Linked DNA regions of Sus scrofa. The protein of the gene in region 2 interacts with the protein of the main gene of each other region in a biochemical or structural test. Links are inferred from orthologs where the notes say so. Each region holds a gene or a part of one and is shown on either strand. Other genes may lie near its edges. The genes, in order: SPN and MSN.

Region 1 (9,378 bases), on a different chromosome or scaffold from region 2:
TGACTAGTTTGTATCCATGAGGACGCGGGGTCGATCCCTGGCCTTGCTCAGTGGGTTAAGGATCCAGCGTTGCCCTGAGCTGTGGAGGAGGTCACAGACGTGACTCAGATCCCGCGTGGCTGTGGCTGTGGTGTAGGCTGGCACCTACAGCTCCAGTTCCACCCCTAGCCTGGGAATCTCCATATGCCATGGGTGGGGCCCTAAAAAGACCAAAAAAAAAAAAAAAAACCACCCAAAAAAACCCTCATTTCTTTTTTAAAATTGTAGCCCTGCTCCTGGTCTGCACTTCCCAGCCCTGCTCCCACCCCCGATTTTTCTAGGGCACTTCTCACCTAATATACTGTGTCATTTACTTTCTTCTTTTGTTTTGTCTTCCTGCCCCCAGTACGGCGTAAGCCTCTAGGAAAACATGGGTGTGCATCTGTTTGCTGCTGCACCAGCGAAATTGCTTGGTAGGTGCTCCGTGATGTTTATGGGCGAATGAGGAGTTCCCTGGCTGGGAGAGGGAAGCAGGCGTCAGACTGAAGGATGTGCCCTTGAGGTCAAGGAGGCCAGAAAGGGCCAGGCACGGGTGGGGTGCACTGGGGGTGTCTGAATCTGTGGGGGTTCCATCGAGCCCACAGACTTCCAGGAAGTCTCTCCCAAGGTCAGCAGAGGTCAGCAGGTGTTCTGTGAAGATATTTCTCCCTCCCCAGGGTTTGGCTTTTTCAGCTCTGACCTGCAGGTCTTTGAGGGGCTGTTTCCAGGCAGACATCAGAGCAGACAGGAGTCCTCCCTGCCCCTAAGCCCAGGCCAGGGAAGCCTCAGCAAGGGGTTTGGGGCGCCAGAGCTGCATCACCTTCTGTCTTTGTGGCCTTGGGTCAGTTATGTCATGTTTCTGCCTCCGTTTCTTCAGCTGTAAATAGGGATAATAATAGGGAGTTCCTGTTGCAGCTCAGGGGGTTAAGAACCCAACTACTATCCATGAGGATGCCAGTTCGATCCCTGCCCTCGCTCAGGGGGTCAGAGGTACTGGCGTTATCATGAGCTGCAGTGTAGGTGGCAGACATGGCTCGGATCCTGCATGGCTGTGGCTGTGGTTGTGGCCGGTGATTCGACCCCAAGCCTGGGAACGTCCATATGCTGCAGGTGTGGCCCTAATAAATAAATAGCCAGGCAGAGCCATATTGAGAAGCTAACATTTGGGCCATTTCAATATTTGGGTGTGAAGAGCCTTAGATGGCACAAAGACGCCAAGCCTCAGATTCTCCAGGGACCACCTGGAAGCCTGAGGGGCAGGAGGAGAGGGAACGGGGGCAGTAGGGAGGGGCAGATCAGGGTGGCCTTGCTGTCCATGGGCTTTTTCTCCGAGTGGAGTGAGAGGGAGCTGTGTCAGGGTTTAGAGCCGTCTCAGGGGAGGGATGTGACCAGATATTTGATCCTGGTTCCTCTGGCTTCTCTGTGGCTGAGAGCCCAAAGGCAATGAGGAAAGACAAGGCTTAGGTGCTTAGACAGGAGGTGGGGGCATGGGGGGGCACGGGGGGGTAGCAGTGAAGGTGGAAAAGAGTATTCAGATTCTGATTCTTTCTTTTCTTTTTTTCTTTTTTGTCTTTTTAGGGCTGCACCCACAGCATATGGAGGTTCCTAGGCTAGGGGTCCAATTGGAGTTACAGCTACCGGCCTACACCACAGCCACAGCAACTCGGGATCCGAGCCTCGTCTTCGACCTATACCACAGCTCAAGGCAATGCCTGATTCTTAATCCACTGAGCGATGCCAGGGATCGAACCCACATCCTCACGGATGCTAGCTAAGATGGGAACTCCCTTTGCTCACTTTCTATGTTGTGAGCCACACAGTGGGAAGTCCCCTCTGCTCACTTTTTAAAACAATTTTTTTTTTTCTTTTTTGACCGCCCCTCAGTATCCGGAGTTCCTGGGCCAGGGATCAGATCTGAGCCAAAGTTGTGACTTAAGCTACAGCTGTGATAATGCCAGATCCTTAACCCACTGTGCTGGGTTGAGGGTCCAACCTTCATCCCAGCGCTCTCAAGACACTGTGGATCCGTTGTACCACAGCTGGAACTCCAGATTTTTTTTTTTTCTTTTTTTTGTCCTTTTAGGGCAACACCTTTGGCATATGGAAGTTCTCAGGCCAGGGTTCAAGTCAGAGCTGCAGCTGCAGCTGCAGCCTAAGCCACAGCCCAGTGACGGCAACACTGGATCCAAACCACATCTGTGAACTATATCGCAGCTTGTGGCAATGCCAGATCCTTAACCCACTGAGCAAGGGCAGAAATCAAATCTGCATTCTCACAAGACAGCGTCAGGTCCTTGACCCCCTGAGCCATGATGGGAACTCCCCACTTCAGTGATCTTTTTTTTTTAAAGGTTGAGAAATTGGGTATCTTTACGCAGTCTTACAACATTTTTGTTTATTTTTTTGAATTAAAAAAATTTATGTTGGACTTCCCGTTGTGGCTCAGTGGTAACAAACCCGACTAGTATCCATGAGGACGCAGGTTCAATTCCTGGCCTTGTTCAGTGGGTTAAGGATCTGGCATTGCCATGAGCTGTGGTGTAGGTCACAGATGCGGCTTGGATCTGGTGTTGCTGTGGCTGTGGCAGAGGCTGGGAGCTGCAGCTGCAGCTGCAATTCAACCCCTAACCTGGGAACTTCCATATCCCGCAGACACGTCCCTAAAAAGACAACAACAAAAATCCATTTAGGAGTTCGATGGTGGCTCAGTGGGTTAAGGATCCAGTGTTGTCACTGCTGTGTCTCAGGTTGCTGCATGGGTTCGACTGCTGGCCTGGAACTTTTGCATGCTACTTGTGCAGCCAAAAAAAAATTTTTTTTAAACCTCCAATTACTTTGCAGCCAATTACTTCTATGTTTCTTTCTTTCTCTCTTTCTTTCTTTTCTTTCTTTTGGTCTTTTTGTCTTTTTAGGGTAGCACCCACTGCATATGGAGGTTCCCAGGCAAGGGGTCCAATCGGAGCTGTAGCCACAGCAACGCAGGATCTGAGCCACATCTACGACCTACACCACAGCTCACGGCAATGCCGGATCCTTAACCCACTGAGCGAGGCCAGAGATCAAACCCGTGTCCTCATGGATGTTAGTCAGGTTCCTTAACCACCGAGGCACAACGGAAACCCCTACTCCTACATTTCTGTTTGCAGGAGCAAAATGTTGAAACAACGTAATGTCTGACAATGGAAAGGTTTCCTCCCTCCCTCCCTTCTCTCCTTCCTTCCTTCTTTCCTATTGTTCCGTTTTTTTAAAAAAAAAGTGTGGAGCAGTATGCATGATAAAACCTAATACTAGCCTATACATGTATATGAGAACAATGTCTAGTCACTTATGATGGAGCACGATGATGTGAGATAAAAGAATGTACACATGTACGTGTAACTGGATCACCGTGCTGTACAGTAGAAAAAAAATAATAACGTATTGGGGAAAAAAAAGAATATGCCTGTGTATATGCATCCAGACTTATCGTTACTAGGGCATAGCTGGCGGTGGTGGTAGAGGAGCTTTGTCACTTTTCAATTCCTGCCTGTTGGGAAAGCCAATCCACCGCAGCCCTGAGCAGCCCTGCACACTCCTGCTCCTCTGCCAGCAAGGCACGGTCCCAGATGCTCTCTATTCAGGGGGTTGCTCAAGATTGTGTTCGCAGTGAGTAACTCTGAGGATGAAGTAACGTCTCCTTTTGGGACAAAGAGCAGGCTTGCTAACCACCTCCTCGAAAAGAGGAAAATTCTCCAAGCTCAGCTGCCGTGCAAACCCCTCGCCGTCACCCCTGTGGGACTCAGAGGCAAGAGGAACTGAAGCAGACACGGTGCTTCTGCTGCTTGCTTAGCCATGAGGCGCGGATGCCTGCGTCTCTGACCTAGGAATCGCACATCTTTGTCGGACTAACTCTTAGCTCATGAGTTCGGTTCGATCCCGGGCTGTGACATTGGCTTCTTTTAATCATCTCTCACGGACATGTATTATTACTTTTGTGACATAATCGGTTTTGATTTTTTTCGAGAAAGGCAGAATACAAAACAAAAAACCACACACGTACCGAAAGCCCAAGCTTACACGTTCAACGAAAGTGAGAAAAGAACAACTATCCAAGGCAGAAACTAAAGAACTCCCTACCCAGACGTACCCAAAGAAACGTGGTAATACCTCAGTAGATACCTTTCCAGACTGTCATCAGTGTTGACTCCCACATTTTTATTAGTCTTCTGCAAAAATAAGATCGTAGCGTATAGCGTGCTTAAGAACCACTTCGATTTAGTCAGGCATCCCATGACTGGGGGCCACTGTGGTGACACCAGCCCACTCCAGCTTCTCGAGAAGTCAAGAGCCCACCAGGATTTTCCTACAACCTGCGAAGGCTTTCACTGCCCCCAGCCAGAGGGAGGGAGTTCCTCGCACCCTGGTACTTCCTGGGAGCTCTTGGGGCAGAAAAAGTGCTAGCCTTGGGTCCTGGCCTAACAGCTTGGGGACCACAAATGCAAAGGAAACCACCTTCCCCTCCCAGCTCCTCCTCCGCACCCCCCATTCTCAACCACACAGTTCCACCCCTCCACCCACTCTCACCCCTATCCCAGCTTCACCCTCTGCTATCACATTTCCCAACTGAGAACGAGGAACCCCATTCCAGATCCCACCCACCATTCCCACCTGCCCCAGAGTCCCCCACCATCTCAGACCCTGAAAAAGCGATGCCTTGCTCATAGCCCGCCAATGTAGGAGCAGGAGGGTGGGGCAGGATGCTGGGGTGGGTGGAGCCAGGGCCATTTCCTTTCCCCCTGGGGCCCTGGCCACCAGTCTTGCCCCAGCTTCAAGAGGAGTTGGAGCAGCCTGGCCGCAACCTCGCCCTTATCAGGTGAGCTGGTAAGGGGTGTGATTTGGTGGAGCAGCAGCCCCAGTGCACCTGGGGATGTGCTTCTGGCTTGAAAAAGACCTTGATGGATAATGGAAAAGGAGACTGTGGAGCCACTGAGGCTGCCCACGGTTGGGACAGGTGGGGAGGGGGTGGCCTTTGCTGGAGCACAAGCTGCCAAGGCAGGCTGAGGGGACCTAGGGAGAGAGTTGATGGGGGAACCGCCAGCATCTTGTACTTTCTGATACGAGTACAAGCAGGGGTGGAAAAAGCCGTTGAACCGCAGAGTTCGGCCTGGCAGTTGGCAGGGAAGTGGGCAAGGGCGGGGAGAGGGCCTGGCTAGGTCCTCCCCCCACCCCAGGTTCTTATGTGTTCTCTTTCTCCGGTTTCCCCACCCTCAGGTCCCAACTCCTGCTCATGCCTGTCGCCTTGAAAATGATCCCGCTTTTCCTCTTCTTTGGGAGCGTCTGGGCCCCAGTGGCAAGCCTAGAGCTTCCAGAGAGCACGACTGCTTTGCAGATGTCTGAACCCGCAAGGTCCCCTTTTCCTTTGGTCTCTGTCTCTGGGACCCCCGAAATCAACTCAGAAGCATCCAGTCTTTCAACAACTGAGCTCCCTGAGGAAAGTAACAGCCCTGGGCATCAGATCTTCCTGCCTTCCTCAACTCCCTACCCAGCTGAAGAGGTGTCCTCCCCCGGGATTTCCATTGCTGCCAGCAGTGGCCTTCCTCTCCCCAGGTCAGTACTCTCCCAGGAAGTTTCCACCAACAGGAAATCCATGCTCCTGGAGATCTCTGATGCAGCCAATACACCTGCTGTCTCAGGAATGAGCTCCCTGGGGTTGCACACTGTGACTGGTAAAACCATGACCACCAGCTCTCTGGAGACCTCTGATGGGACCAGTGGACCTCCTGTCACCACGGCAACCAGCTCTCTGGAGACCTCTGATGGGACCAGTGGACCTCCTAATACCACGGCAACCAGCTCTCTGGTGGCCTCCAGTGGAACCACTGGACCCCCTGTCATCATGGCAACTAGGTCTTCGAAGACCTCCGTTGTGACCCGTGGACCCCCTGTCACCATTGAAACTGGCTTGCTAACGACTTCCAAGGGGACCAGTGGACCCCCTGTCACCAGGGAGACCTCTATGAAGACCACTGACCCCATCTTTGGGGTAGGAATATCCACCGTAGACACAAGCAGTAGCTCCCCCCAAAATTCAGGTCAGAGGACAAATGGCACCATGCTGGTAGCCGTGCTTGTGGCCCTGCTGGTGGTCATTGTCCTCGTGGTACTACTCCTGCTATGGCGCCAGCGGCAGAAGCGGAAGACAGGAGTCCTGACACTAAGCAGAGGTGGAAACCGCAATGGGGTCGTAGATGCCTGGGCTGGGCGAGCCCAGGTGTCCGATGAGGAGGCCATGTCACCAGAGGGAGCATCTGGGGGCAACAAGGACTCTGGGGCTCCCCAGGGGGAGGGGCCTGGCCAGCGACCCACGCTCACCACTTTCTTTGGGAAACGGAAGTCTCGCCAGGGCTCCTTGGCGCTGGAGGAGATAAAGGCTGGGTCAGCCGCCAAGCTGAAGGGTGAGGAGGAGCCGCTGGTGGGCAGCGAGGATGGGGCTGCGGACGCCTCTGCTTCTGATGGGCCAGAAGCCAGAGAGGCGGGGGCCGCTTAGGGCTTCATGACAAGGATGGAAGCCAGAGTCACTCCCTCTTTCATCACCCTCCCTCCTACCGTTACATCCAACTTCACTGTCACCCAGCTTTTTCACCCAGCACCCTTTGGATGTGCACGCAGCATCTTCACTCTGAGTCTTCATTCGGCTTCTTGGCCCTGGATCATCCCGCCAGCATCTGCACTCAGCACCTAGACCAGGGCTGGCACCCACTGAACGCCTGTAGACAGAATGAGCAAAGCTTGAATGAGCAAAGCTTCCTCGTGGACCTCACTGCTCCCCATCACAGTTTCTCTATGTTTTTGTCCTCGACCCCAGCTGAGTCTCCCTAATCCCAAACTTTTTGGACCTTGGATTTTTCAGAGGATGCTCCAGGGATCCCAGAGTCTGGGAAGATGACAGAAAAAGCAACCCAGGAAACTCCTCCTTAGGATGACTCTGGAAAGTACACTCGGCCCCACAGACTAGAACAGTTGACCCTTCTTTTGACTCTGCGCCCAGGAGCGCTGTGCCGGGCCAGCCTGGAACACGGGCTGGGTTGGTGTCATCGGGCTGCGCTCTCGGGTGCGTGTGTGACAGCCCCTGGACTCTAGGCTGGCCCACTGTCCAAGCCGCCACACTCTCCCTCACCTCTGGCCTGAGACAGCCAGAGGCTTCAGCTGTTTCCCCTCCCCCTCGGAGGTGAGAAGAATTTCAGGGCAGGTGTCATTCTTAGAAGTCTCAGCATCTGTGTGGGTCCCCGTATGAGGGCGGTTTGCGCGAGCGAGCGAGCGGGAGAGGCGAGGAATCCGTGATGTTTGTGAAGGGCGGGGGTGAGGACAGGGGCGGGGGTGGGGGCGAGGGCAGGAAGGGCTGCAGAGGCTGAGGAGATGCCACCCTTGTTGCTGCCGAGGCATAGGCGCCCTCATCTTTGCTCAGATTGGGCAGAGGTAGATTGAACTCCGCCTGTGGCCGGCCCTGAGGGGAAAGACCGCATGCGTGACGACTGAGTGTGGTTCCTCAGCTCAGCCACTCGGTCATCTCTTCCTCAAAGACCCCCCCCCCAGCCCCCGCACACACCCCCCCCCGGCCCCCGGCCCTGTTCCAACACTCGCAGGAGACCCAGGGCGGGTCTTGCTGATGCTGTTACAGGTTGGATGTGTTTGCATCTCCTCTTCCATCCTCCAAGGGAGTCAGTCAGAGTGAGACGTGACAGGCCCCCAGGGGATGGCCAGGAGGGGACAAAGCCTAACTGAGCCATCTCTCTGGGACCAGCCCAGGACAGAGCACCGGGCGCCTCCTGGACCGGAGGCCACGGACCAGAGGCTGTTGGTATTTCCCCAGGGCAAAGAGGAAATGTGCAAAGAGGAAGTTGTTGAGTCAGAGAGCAGACACATTGACCTGCAAAAGGAGCCGCCAAGGGCCGCGTGTGAGTGTGCCGGCCAGGTGGCCTGGAATGGAAGGGACATGGGGAGACAGGGAAAGGGCCTGGGGGGGGGGTTCCCGTTCACGGGGTGGGGGAGGAGAGGGATGGGGAGAGAAGGAGCGGAAAGTGGCCACGGATCTGCCAGGAGTTGGGCCACCTCTGCCCGGTCTGTGGGGGACGGGCTGATAGGGTAAGAGTGATTTTTACTTTATTCACCCTCTTCTGTAGTATCCAAATTTTATATATCCATTCCTTTTACAATAAAAAAAAAAAACAAAGGAACAAAAAGGTGTTCACTGGTGGGTGGGGTGTCGGGTTTGAGGAAGCTGGAAGGAAGGTTAGAGCCACGCCGTGAAGGGCCCCACTCTCTCCTCTGGCCTCCGTCCCCAGGTGCCTGGTCCAGCTGATTCTCCCTGCATGGTCCCTGGGAGCCCTCTCGTCTCTCTAGGCCCCCATCCCGCCTGGCCTGGGTCCTGCTGAGACTGCCCTTTCGCTTTCCTGACCCCTGACCCTTCCACCCTTCGCCTGTGTTGGTCCCAATGACCCGTGTAAAAGGCTACTCTGTCCAGATGAACTATGCACCCCCTAAGGCTGTCAGGGGGCGCCCATCTTCCTTAGCATGGAGTATAATACCCCTTCAAGATCTGGCCCTGGAGTTCCTGTTGTGGCTCAGTGGGTTAAGAAGCTGACTGGTATCCCTGAGGAGGGTCGGATCCCTGGCCTCACTCAGTGGGTTAAGGACCCGGCATTGCTGTGAGCTGTAGCATAGGTCACAGATGCAGCTTGGATCCTGCGTTCTTGTGGCTGTGGCGTAGGCCTGCAGGTGTAGCTCCGATTGGACCCCTAGCCTGGGAACCTCCATATGCCGCGGGTGCAGCCTTAAAAAGGAAAAAAAAAATTTTTTAATAAAATACTAATTTTATCCAAATAGTAAAATCACATTTTTTCCTCTTTTGCCAATGTTAATTGCCAGCACATTCTCGTCTCTCTTACACACACAACCATATGCAGCATATCATTCTTCATCTTATATTTTAAAATGCATGTTTCCATTTGACTTTCAAAGTGCACATTACGCTCATGGTTACAAATATAGCTCTGTCATCCCAAATGCAAATTCCAGATGGAAGAAGATTTTGGATGGGGAAATTTTTGAGAAATCTATTTATTCACTTTGCAGCTAGGAAAGGGGCTGCAAAGCCTGGATCCAAGGACATTCCATTTCTGAAAATGGACATTTATACCTCATTTTCCTCTACATCCCTATTTCTGCCCCTGTTCTGGGGAGGTTTGGGGTTGAGGCATTAGCCATCAGAAACCCCGGGGTACAGCTTCAGCTTATGTGGAGACTGCAGCTTGGATCTGCTCCCAGGCTGGGGAGCTCCAGGTGCTGAGGGGTAGCCGAAAATGAAAAAGAAAAGAAAAGAAA
Region 2 (8,754 bases):
CATGGGCTACTAAGTCAATACACATGGTCTCCATGACCCTTTGGCTCTGCCTATGTACCTTTAGGTGCTTCTGCACACGCTCATTCTTCTCTGCCTCAGTGGTGCGTTCTTCCTCACTGCGGTCCTTGGCCATGGCATCAGCCCGCAAGTCGGCACTGGCCTCTGCCCCATTTTCATCCTGCTCATCCTGATCATTCTCAGCAGGCTCTGCCACATGAGGCGTGCTCATGGCAGTCTTCAGCTCTGCACGAGTCTTCTCCAAGTCTTCTTGTACCATCTGAGCCTGTCCAATAACAGAGGAAGAAAAGGACTGGCAGTCACACCAGGCTAATTTTCAGCATCCCTACATGTGCCTAGAATTGTCCAGCAGGAAGCAGACACCAGGTAGGCCAAGTCACTTTGTCTACCTGATCCTGAGTCTCCTTGGCTCTATAATAGGAGTAACTGTACCAATTTCCCCAGGGTACTGGAACTTATGCATATGGTACCCCGTCCCACACTGCTTTACCCTGGGCACTGTATCTTACCTTCTGCTGCCATTCCGCAGCCTCACTCTCCTTCTTCTGTCGGGCCATCTCCAGCTGGGAGATCCGAGCTGTCAGCTCGGCCATTTCCAAGGCCTATGGATAAATTGAAAGCTTATGAGAGGTGGGCCTTCTAGTCCTCAGGGCCAGGTATCTTAAACCCCAGCTGCCCTGCAAACTAACAGGGAATCTGCTTCTCCACTTGCTTGCTGTTCTGGGGGCTTTTTGTACCAAACCTCCTCTAGGAGGCCCAGAGGAACACTCATTCTCAGATCTACTACAACACCCTATTAACTCCAAATTATTTCCTCCCCACCTAGACTACAGACCTGAAGGCAAACATGACATCTGTGATTCTTCCTCATCTCTCCCTCTTCCTTATCTCTCCTTCTCCCTCTCCCTCTTTCTTGATATATGTATCTCCCCCTCCCCCACCTCCACTTTCTTAGTATTACCCACTGCACAGTTAGGGCCTCAGTAAAGCTTTGAAGATCACTGGGTTGCTGCCTGAAGTGGAAGACCCTTTCCTGTTACCTTACAGTGATCAGGGCTACACTAAGACTCTTCCCAGGACAAGTATAGGAATGATACTCAAGTGTCACAAAGTAATTTGAACAGGGGAATAAAGCTTCGCACATTCTCACACCTTGGGAAAATCTTCCAAAGTCTTCCCCTGAGAATTAGGGCTTAGTTTCTTGCACTCTGACTCCAAAAAGTACAGGAGAAAAGCATATGTCAATGAATTTGGGCCACAGGGTCTTAATCTCTGAGTCACAGAACCCTTGGAAATTGTGATAAAAGTATAGATGATTACCCTCCTCCCCTGTAAAATGTATAGACACATAGTTTTACATATGATTTGAGGAAGCAAACCCTTAAAAGAAAGGCAGAAATGCGGAGTTCTTTTGTGGCTCAGTGGTAACGAATCCAACTAGTACCCATGAGGAAGAGGGTTCAATCCCTGGCCTCACTCAGTGGGTTAAGGATCTGGTGTTGCTGTGAACTGCAGTGTAGGTCACAGATGCAGCTCAGATCTTGCATTGCTGTGGCTGTGGCATAGGCCAGCAGCCATGGCTCTGATAGTTGCCAGAGGGGAAGTGGGTGAAGGATGAGTGAAATATGTCAAGGGGATTAAGACATACAAACTCCAGTTATATAATAAATTAGTCACATGTATGTAAAATACAAAAAAAAAAAAGAACAAAGGCAGAAATGAGTTGTCATCCTTACTTAGTCAAAATAGTGTGACCTTCGACAGATCTCTTCAACCTATCTGAGCCTGAATTTCTTTATCCAGGCATATTATCCCATATGGGTTAATAGCATAGGGTTGTTTAGGAAGAGGAAATGAGAAAGTAAGGAAAAGGAAAAAGTTGCTAGTATAGCTTATAACACACACAGCTAGACAATCAAGTGTGAATCCCTTTACTTCTTCCCTCTCTCCTCTGTCAGGTCATCAGCTCAGATTTCCCAATTGCTAAGAAAGTAGAATAAAAGTAAGGGTTAGGGTAGACTGTTTTCAAAGTGACTTCTCAGCTTGCTTCTGAAGGAGCTATCTGCTGGAAGCCTGCAGAGAGGTACTCTGTTGGAAAAAGCCAGTCCCACAAGCAGAGGTAGCTGTGATAGGCAAACAGAGAAAACACATGTCCTATAATCTCAGCCCATTTTGTAGCTTTACCAGCTGTTCCTGGGTCTTCTTCTGGTCCCGGGAGGCCTTCAACAGGGCCTCCTTGGCTTCTTCAGCTTCCTGACGCTCTTTGGCCAGTTTTTCAGCCTCACTCTGGGCACGCTTCCGTTCCTGTTCAAGTTCCAGGGCCCTGCGGGTCTGTTCTTCCAGTTCTGGGAAGAGGAGAGGGAATGGTGGTGAAGAGTACAGAGATCAAGAAAGGACAGCTAGCTTCCTTCCTAGGAATGCTTCACACCAGGGCACAGCTGGAAGAAAGCTCTAGGTACTCTTCCTCTTGCCCCATCCTCCCTCTATTCTCTAGCCACATCTGGAATATATGGTCTGGGTCTGTCTGTATCTCAGACAGGGCTTCTAGCTCATAGACTCGGACTCTGGGAAAACCCAGTCTCCAAGGTGACTCCAAGCCTCACCTTGCTGAGCCTTCTTAGTCTGTTCCTCAATCTGCTTCAGCCTCTCCATCAGTTCCTCCTTTTCCCGTTCAATCTTCTCTTTTTCCTTTTCTGCCATCTCACGTTTCTTCTTCTCATTTTCCAGCAGAGCACTATGAAAGAAGGAAAAAGGGATGGAACAGGATAGTAAGGCCACAAGGAAGCTTTGGCATACTCAAGGCTCCCTGGCCCTGGCCCTTCAGTCCCCACTTTTCCAATACACTCAGGGCTTGAGAGGCAAGACTGCTCTCCTTTCTCTCTACATCCTTGCCCTCACATCATAGCCCTACAGGGGCCAGTATGCTCAGGGCCCTGTCAGTTTGTCCCCAAATCAGAAGATCCAACCTGGACCCTCAGCTCTGCCACCCAGTAGATAACCAGTGGCTAACTTTAGCAACTTCAATTCTTTGCGCTTATTCTCAGTACCTCTATTTATAAAATGTCCTAATAAGTCTTGCCCTGTTTAACTCATGGAATTAAAAGTAGACAAGTTTGGGCTCTGTGTTTGGATACTTTGCTTCAAGTCTGGTGATCTCTATGGCTAGGACAGCAGTCCTCTGCCTGTACTCTGAAGCCCATCTCTAGGCTCCTTTTCCACAAAATTTGTTGTAAATCTAGAATAAGTACTTGGTTTTTCTTGCCCCAGCACCTCTTCTTGGAGGCCTTATTCTCTCCCTTGGCTAGATGTCTTTTCTCTTTCTGAATACTCAGAATCATGACCTATCTTTCTCCATATCCCTCCCCACTATTATTTTTTTATCCATAGTACTTCTCATCATGTCACAAAGTGTATAATATGCTTATTTGATCTGTCTCTTCCCATTAGAATGACAGCTTCATGGGAGCAGAAATTTTTGTCTGTTTTTTCATTGTTTAAATATTCATTGAGTGAATAAATGATGTAGCATTTATACCTTGAACAGTTACATATATACTCTTTTTTCCCCTTTCTCCTACTAGACTGTAAGGTCCTTGAGGATAAGTTCCTGCCAGATCCAGTTTTATAAACTTCCCCCAATCTCATTTTTTTCCTGAATAAATGTGAATCCCGGTGTCTAACCTCACATACATGGAATCATTTTCCAGTCTACTAGACTAAAAGCCTCCTGAGGTTCCAAACTCTTTATGACAAAGAACCTACTAGAATAGTGCTCTTAAACCTTAACATGCACAGGGATCATCTGGGATCTTATTTTTTAAATAACTTAGAGTCGAAATTTGTGTAATATAAAATTAGCCATTTTAAAGAAAATAATTCAGAGATTTAATACATTCACAATGTTGTATAGCCACACCTCTATTAGTTCTAAAACACTTTCATCACTGCAAAGTAAAACCCCATGCCCATTAAGCAGTTTCTCCACATCTCCCCTCCCCCAACCCCTGACAACCACAAATCTGCCTTCTGTCTCTACAAATTTGTCTATTCTGGATATTTCATATAAATGAAATAATACAATATGTGATTTTTTGTGTATGGTTTATTTCACTTAGTATAAGGTTTTAGAGATTTACTACTTTTAGTATGTATCAGTACTTCATTCTTTTTAATGGCTGAATAATATATTCCATTGGATAGCTGCACAGTTTATTTGTCCATTCACTCACTGATGGACATTTGGACCATTTCCATCTTTTGGCTATTGGGAATCACACTGCTATGAATATGTGTGTGCATGTGCATGTTTGAACACCTGTTTTCAATTATTTTCAGTATATATCTAGGAGTAGAATTGTGGAATTATATAGTAATTCTACACTTAACTTTCTATAGCAGCTGAACCATTTTACATTCCCAATAGTGATGAAAATGAGTTTTAATTTCTCCACACCCTTGCTAACAGTTGTTATTTTTTGTTTTCATTTATTATATCCATATTAGTGAATACGAAGTGGTACCTTACTATGGTTTTAATTTGCATTTCCCTAATGACTAAGGGTGTTTTCATGTGCCTGCTGGGTATTTGCATATCTTCTTTGAAGAAATGGCCGACTAGGATCTTAAGATGCAGATTTTGAATCAGTAGGTTTGGGGTAGGTCTCAGATACTACATTTCTAAAAAGTTCCAAAGTTTATGCTGATGTTGCTGACCCTTGATGCACTTTGAGCAGCAAGGGGCTACAGTGCATAAGGGTTTTGTAGGGAAAATTCTGGCTCTGTCCAATTTCACTCAAAGAGCTCTAAAGAATTCAGGTTTAAATGTGCATGGAGCCTTCTGCTACTGCTACTATACTGATAAGGTAGCCCAGAGCAACCCAGAGTCCACCTAGAAGAACAGTGGCATGAGGGTCATAGATAATGGGGAATTATGAAATGCTCCTCTCTGAAATCCTAGGGTTTTAATGTCTGCTTCCTGGGGATGGTGATGCCTGAGACTTAATGGAGGAGGTGTCATCCCTGTACAGTTCTCTCTCCTCTAGAACAGGATAGCTTCATACCCTGCCTTAAGCAGGCTTAGCACCTTGAGAGGCTTCTTTGTCATAGTCCCAGCCCCTACTTCAGTACCACAATACCTACCGCTCCATCTGCTTCTGGTGCTTCTCCTCCCGGGCCTGTGCCTTCATCTGCTGCACCTCAATGGTGTCAGGCTTGCGGCGGCGCATGTATAACTCATGGTTCCCCATGCAGAGAGCCAAGATTCGCTTGTTAATTCGCAGCCGAGGAGCATAGAAGACAAAGTCCTGATGGAAAACCATCAGTCAGAAAAAGTTTAGAGGGATAGTTGAAGCTGGGCTTCTGCCTTCTGAAAAGCTAAGTCCAAAAGCACTGGAAAATCATGTTATAGATGGGAAGACTAATTATCAGAGTGGTGAAGTGACTTGCCCAGGGTCAGATTGCAGATTAGTGGCAGACCCAGGACTAGAACTCAGGTTTCTTGACTCTGAAACTAGTGCTCTTTCCACCAAGCCACAAATACTTTCAATCTCTGCTTATGAAAAGAATCCTAAAATACCCTCAATCCAGATGATATAAACTGACTTTACCTGCTAATTAGATATCCTTCTGGGTCTCAGGGGTCTCTCTTAAGGCCTAAGAATTCCTGCACAATACCCTGGTGAATGTGATACGGATGGGCTGGACTGGTTCTATAATCTCCTAAAAACATATCCTAGACCTAGTCCGTAAATCCTGTTTGGCAGGTTGTAAATATATACATGAATATGTAAATCTTCTGAACATCAATTATCCTGGTTGCTATTTTTTAAAATAAGCCCTTGATCTCAGCTGGCTTTGTTACTTACCTTTCTCTGATGAAAGTTGAGCATAGCAGCAGAGAAAAAAAAAAAAAAAACACACACACACACAAGAAAATCCATTGAGTTTGAGTTTACTATAAATACCACTGGACCAGTGTCACCAGAAGATGGGCTAACCACCAGCTCCTTTGCCACTGAACCCAAACTGCTACTGTCTCACATCGCTTGAGGTGCAATGGAAGGAGCACAAGCTCTAGATGTCAAATGACCTTGATATAAATCTCAGGTCTATCATTTTAAGCTTTGTGATATTGGGCAAATCACTCCATCCCTCCGAAACTCAAGGTCATCACTTATAAAGTAAGTATGTTACTACCTACCAGACAATGTCATCAAGGGTTTAAGGAGACAACATATAGAAAGTGCCTAGCAGAGCAAGTTCAGAGACCTCAGAGCTGGAGAAGAAAGGCTGAAGCCTCACGAGAAGAGTCTGGTTCAACATGGTCATTGGCCCTTGTTGGACATGAGGTACATCAAAAGAGGAAACCTATTGCTCTTGGAATGGATTTACAATGAGATCTTGCTGTGTAGCATTGAGAACTATGTCTAGATACTTACATTGAAACACAACAATGGGAGGAAAAAGTATGTATACATGTATGTGTAACTTGGTCCCCATGCTGTACAGTGGAAAAAAAATAAATAAATAAAAAACAAATAAAATACAATATGCAACAATGAAAAAAAAAAGAGGAAACTTTCATCTCAGTTTTCTATCCTATTTATAATCACCAGCCTTCCAGTCTTATCAGCCACAGGAACTGAGTAGGTGACAGGTATGACAAGCATGTTAGAGGAATGACTGGACCCAAAGCACTTTCTTGTTTTTGGATTGCTCTAGAGAGAAGTCTTGAGAGGACAGCAGCAAAGTTATAATAACAACAACAAAAAAAAACCATCTGGAGGATCATCTTCAGATCTGGACTTCTCCACAACTGAAGATAAATCAAGTACCTAAGCAGTTTCTACTTTCTAGGGCCTAGAGGCTTTAAAAGATAAGATATATTCTCTGTTTCTATGTCAGAGCCTCAGGGCAGAAAAAAAGACAATGGCTAAGAGGCAGTACTTAGACTGCCTATAGATCTCTCCCTCATTCATGATTCTTCTCCTGAAACACAGGTAGCAGGATAGTATCACTTACATTTCTTGGCATCAACATCCCCTTTCACCGTCATCACCTTTTGTGTCTTCTATTCCCACCCATAACCAAAAGTCAGAAAAGAGAGATAAAAACAGAATGACATTATTGCTTCTAGCATTATCCAGGACTTGGCAGGTACCTGTCTTGGCCAGTGGGAGGAGTAACTTACCGGGGCTTTTTTGTCAATGGGCTTGATGACAAATTTCTTGTCATTGAAAGAGATGTTCCTGATTTCACTCCAAGGGAAGCCTATCTTAGGAGTCAGTCTGTAGAAATGGAGATCAAGAACATAAGGACAAGGGCAAGACAAAAAGGATAGAGAGGGTTGGTGCCTTGCCCTCCCCACCTCCAACTTCTCCCTTAAGGAGACATATTCATTGCTAGCTCAGCCTGTGTCATCACATGCCACCAGGTCAGTTGCCAGCATTGTGGGTACACAAAGGACTTCCTGATAGCACAATGAACATGTCCCTTGTTCCAATGGCTGAGACTTGTTTTATTGTACTCTTTGTTAAGGTATGGACCTTGCAGCAATCTCTCATAAGAATCCCCAGCCCGACTTAACTGGAACTCTTCTACTCAAGGTTGTAAAGGTTGGGCAAAGGTAAACGATGAGTTTCAGATTCGTAATTTACACAGAACAATAATCTATTGATCTCCATCCTCATCAAGCAGCAGACCAATGAGAAAAAATAAGCAAGTGAGAGAAGGCTTTAGTGAGAGGGATTATATGGCCAAATGACACTTAATAACCATATGGAAATGAGGTTAATTACAAATCCTGATAAGGTAGGTTCTAGAGCTAACCAAAAAAAAATATAATGAGAGCCACATATGTAATTTTAAGTTTTCTAGTAGCCTAGTGAAAATAAGTAAAAAGAAATAGGTGGAGTTAACTATAATAACAGTTCATTTAGCCTAGTATACCTAAAATACTACATTTGAATGTGTAAATCAATATTTTAAAAATATTAATGAGACATTTTACATTCTATTTTTCATACTGTCTTCAAAGGCCAGTGTAGTTTACACTTTATAGCACATCTCAATTCAAAGCAGCCATGTTTCAAGTGCTCAATAGAAGCTACCATAGCGGACAGTACAAATCTAGTCAGTAAAAGATTTAGACGCTTGAGGGAGGTTGTGCCATCATCTGAGCTAATCTAACCTAGGTAGAAAAAGAACTACACAAGTGGGACCCAGGAAGTACAATGCTACACTATGGTAAGCCCTTGGTGTCAAAGTGCCCCACAAAACTTAAGAGAACTATGAGCTATACCTGTCATTCTGTTCATAGATGTTGAGACCCAGGGCATCCACCCCCAGCCACAGCTCTGAGCCTTTCTTGTTCTTGATGCTGAAGTAGTTCACACCATACATCTCCAGATCCTGAGCAATCTTCAGATACTCCAAGACAGCATCCTCCCTAAACAACAAAGTGGGGGTGGGGGCTGTTATCAAGGGAAGACTATGAATTAGACCCAGGGAGATAGAAAGCCTACTTGTTCTGTACGCCCAACAAGACTCTTGCCATTAGGGGTGGGAAAGATAATAGAAGGTGGGCAGATGATGGTGAACAAAACACAACATGACTTTTGCCAAAACATGCTAATAGGAACCTAAGTTCTGAGGTTCCCAAGGGGAATAAGGGTAGGCTGACTCTTGCTGGCCTGTGATATATTAACTATCATAGAAGCCTCTTACACAGGCACATTC

What was found.
Region 1: the proteins of MSN (region 2) and SPN form a complex in vitro, tested with the Homo sapiens proteins (2 studies listed by BioGRID). The link is inferred for Sus scrofa from reciprocal best matches to the Homo sapiens genes MSN and SPN.

Annotation. Positions count from the first base shown.
Region 1 is NC_010445.4:17,973,992-17,983,369, forward strand, and holds SPN (leukosialin), read left to right. Parts: upstream 1-4,739; 5' UTR 4,740-4,754; coding exon 4,755-4,870; intron 4,871-5,268; coding exon 5,269-6,544; 3' UTR 6,545-8,231; downstream 8,232-9,378. UniProt on the Homo sapiens protein: Predominant cell surface sialoprotein of leukocytes which regulates multiple T-cell functions, including T-cell activation, proliferation, differentiation, trafficking and migration.
Region 2 is NC_010461.5:51,956,180-51,964,933, reverse strand, and holds part of MSN (moesin), read right to left. Parts: intron 8,465-8,754; coding exon 8,318-8,464; intron 7,305-8,317; coding exon 7,208-7,304; intron 5,322-7,207; coding exon 5,158-5,321; intron 2,753-5,157; coding exon 2,622-2,752; intron 2,364-2,621; coding exon 2,203-2,363; intron 621-2,202; coding exon 528-620; intron 284-527; coding exon 59-283; intron 1-58. UniProt on the Homo sapiens protein: Ezrin-radixin-moesin (ERM) family protein that connects the actin cytoskeleton to the plasma membrane and thereby regulates the structure and function of specific domains of the cell cortex.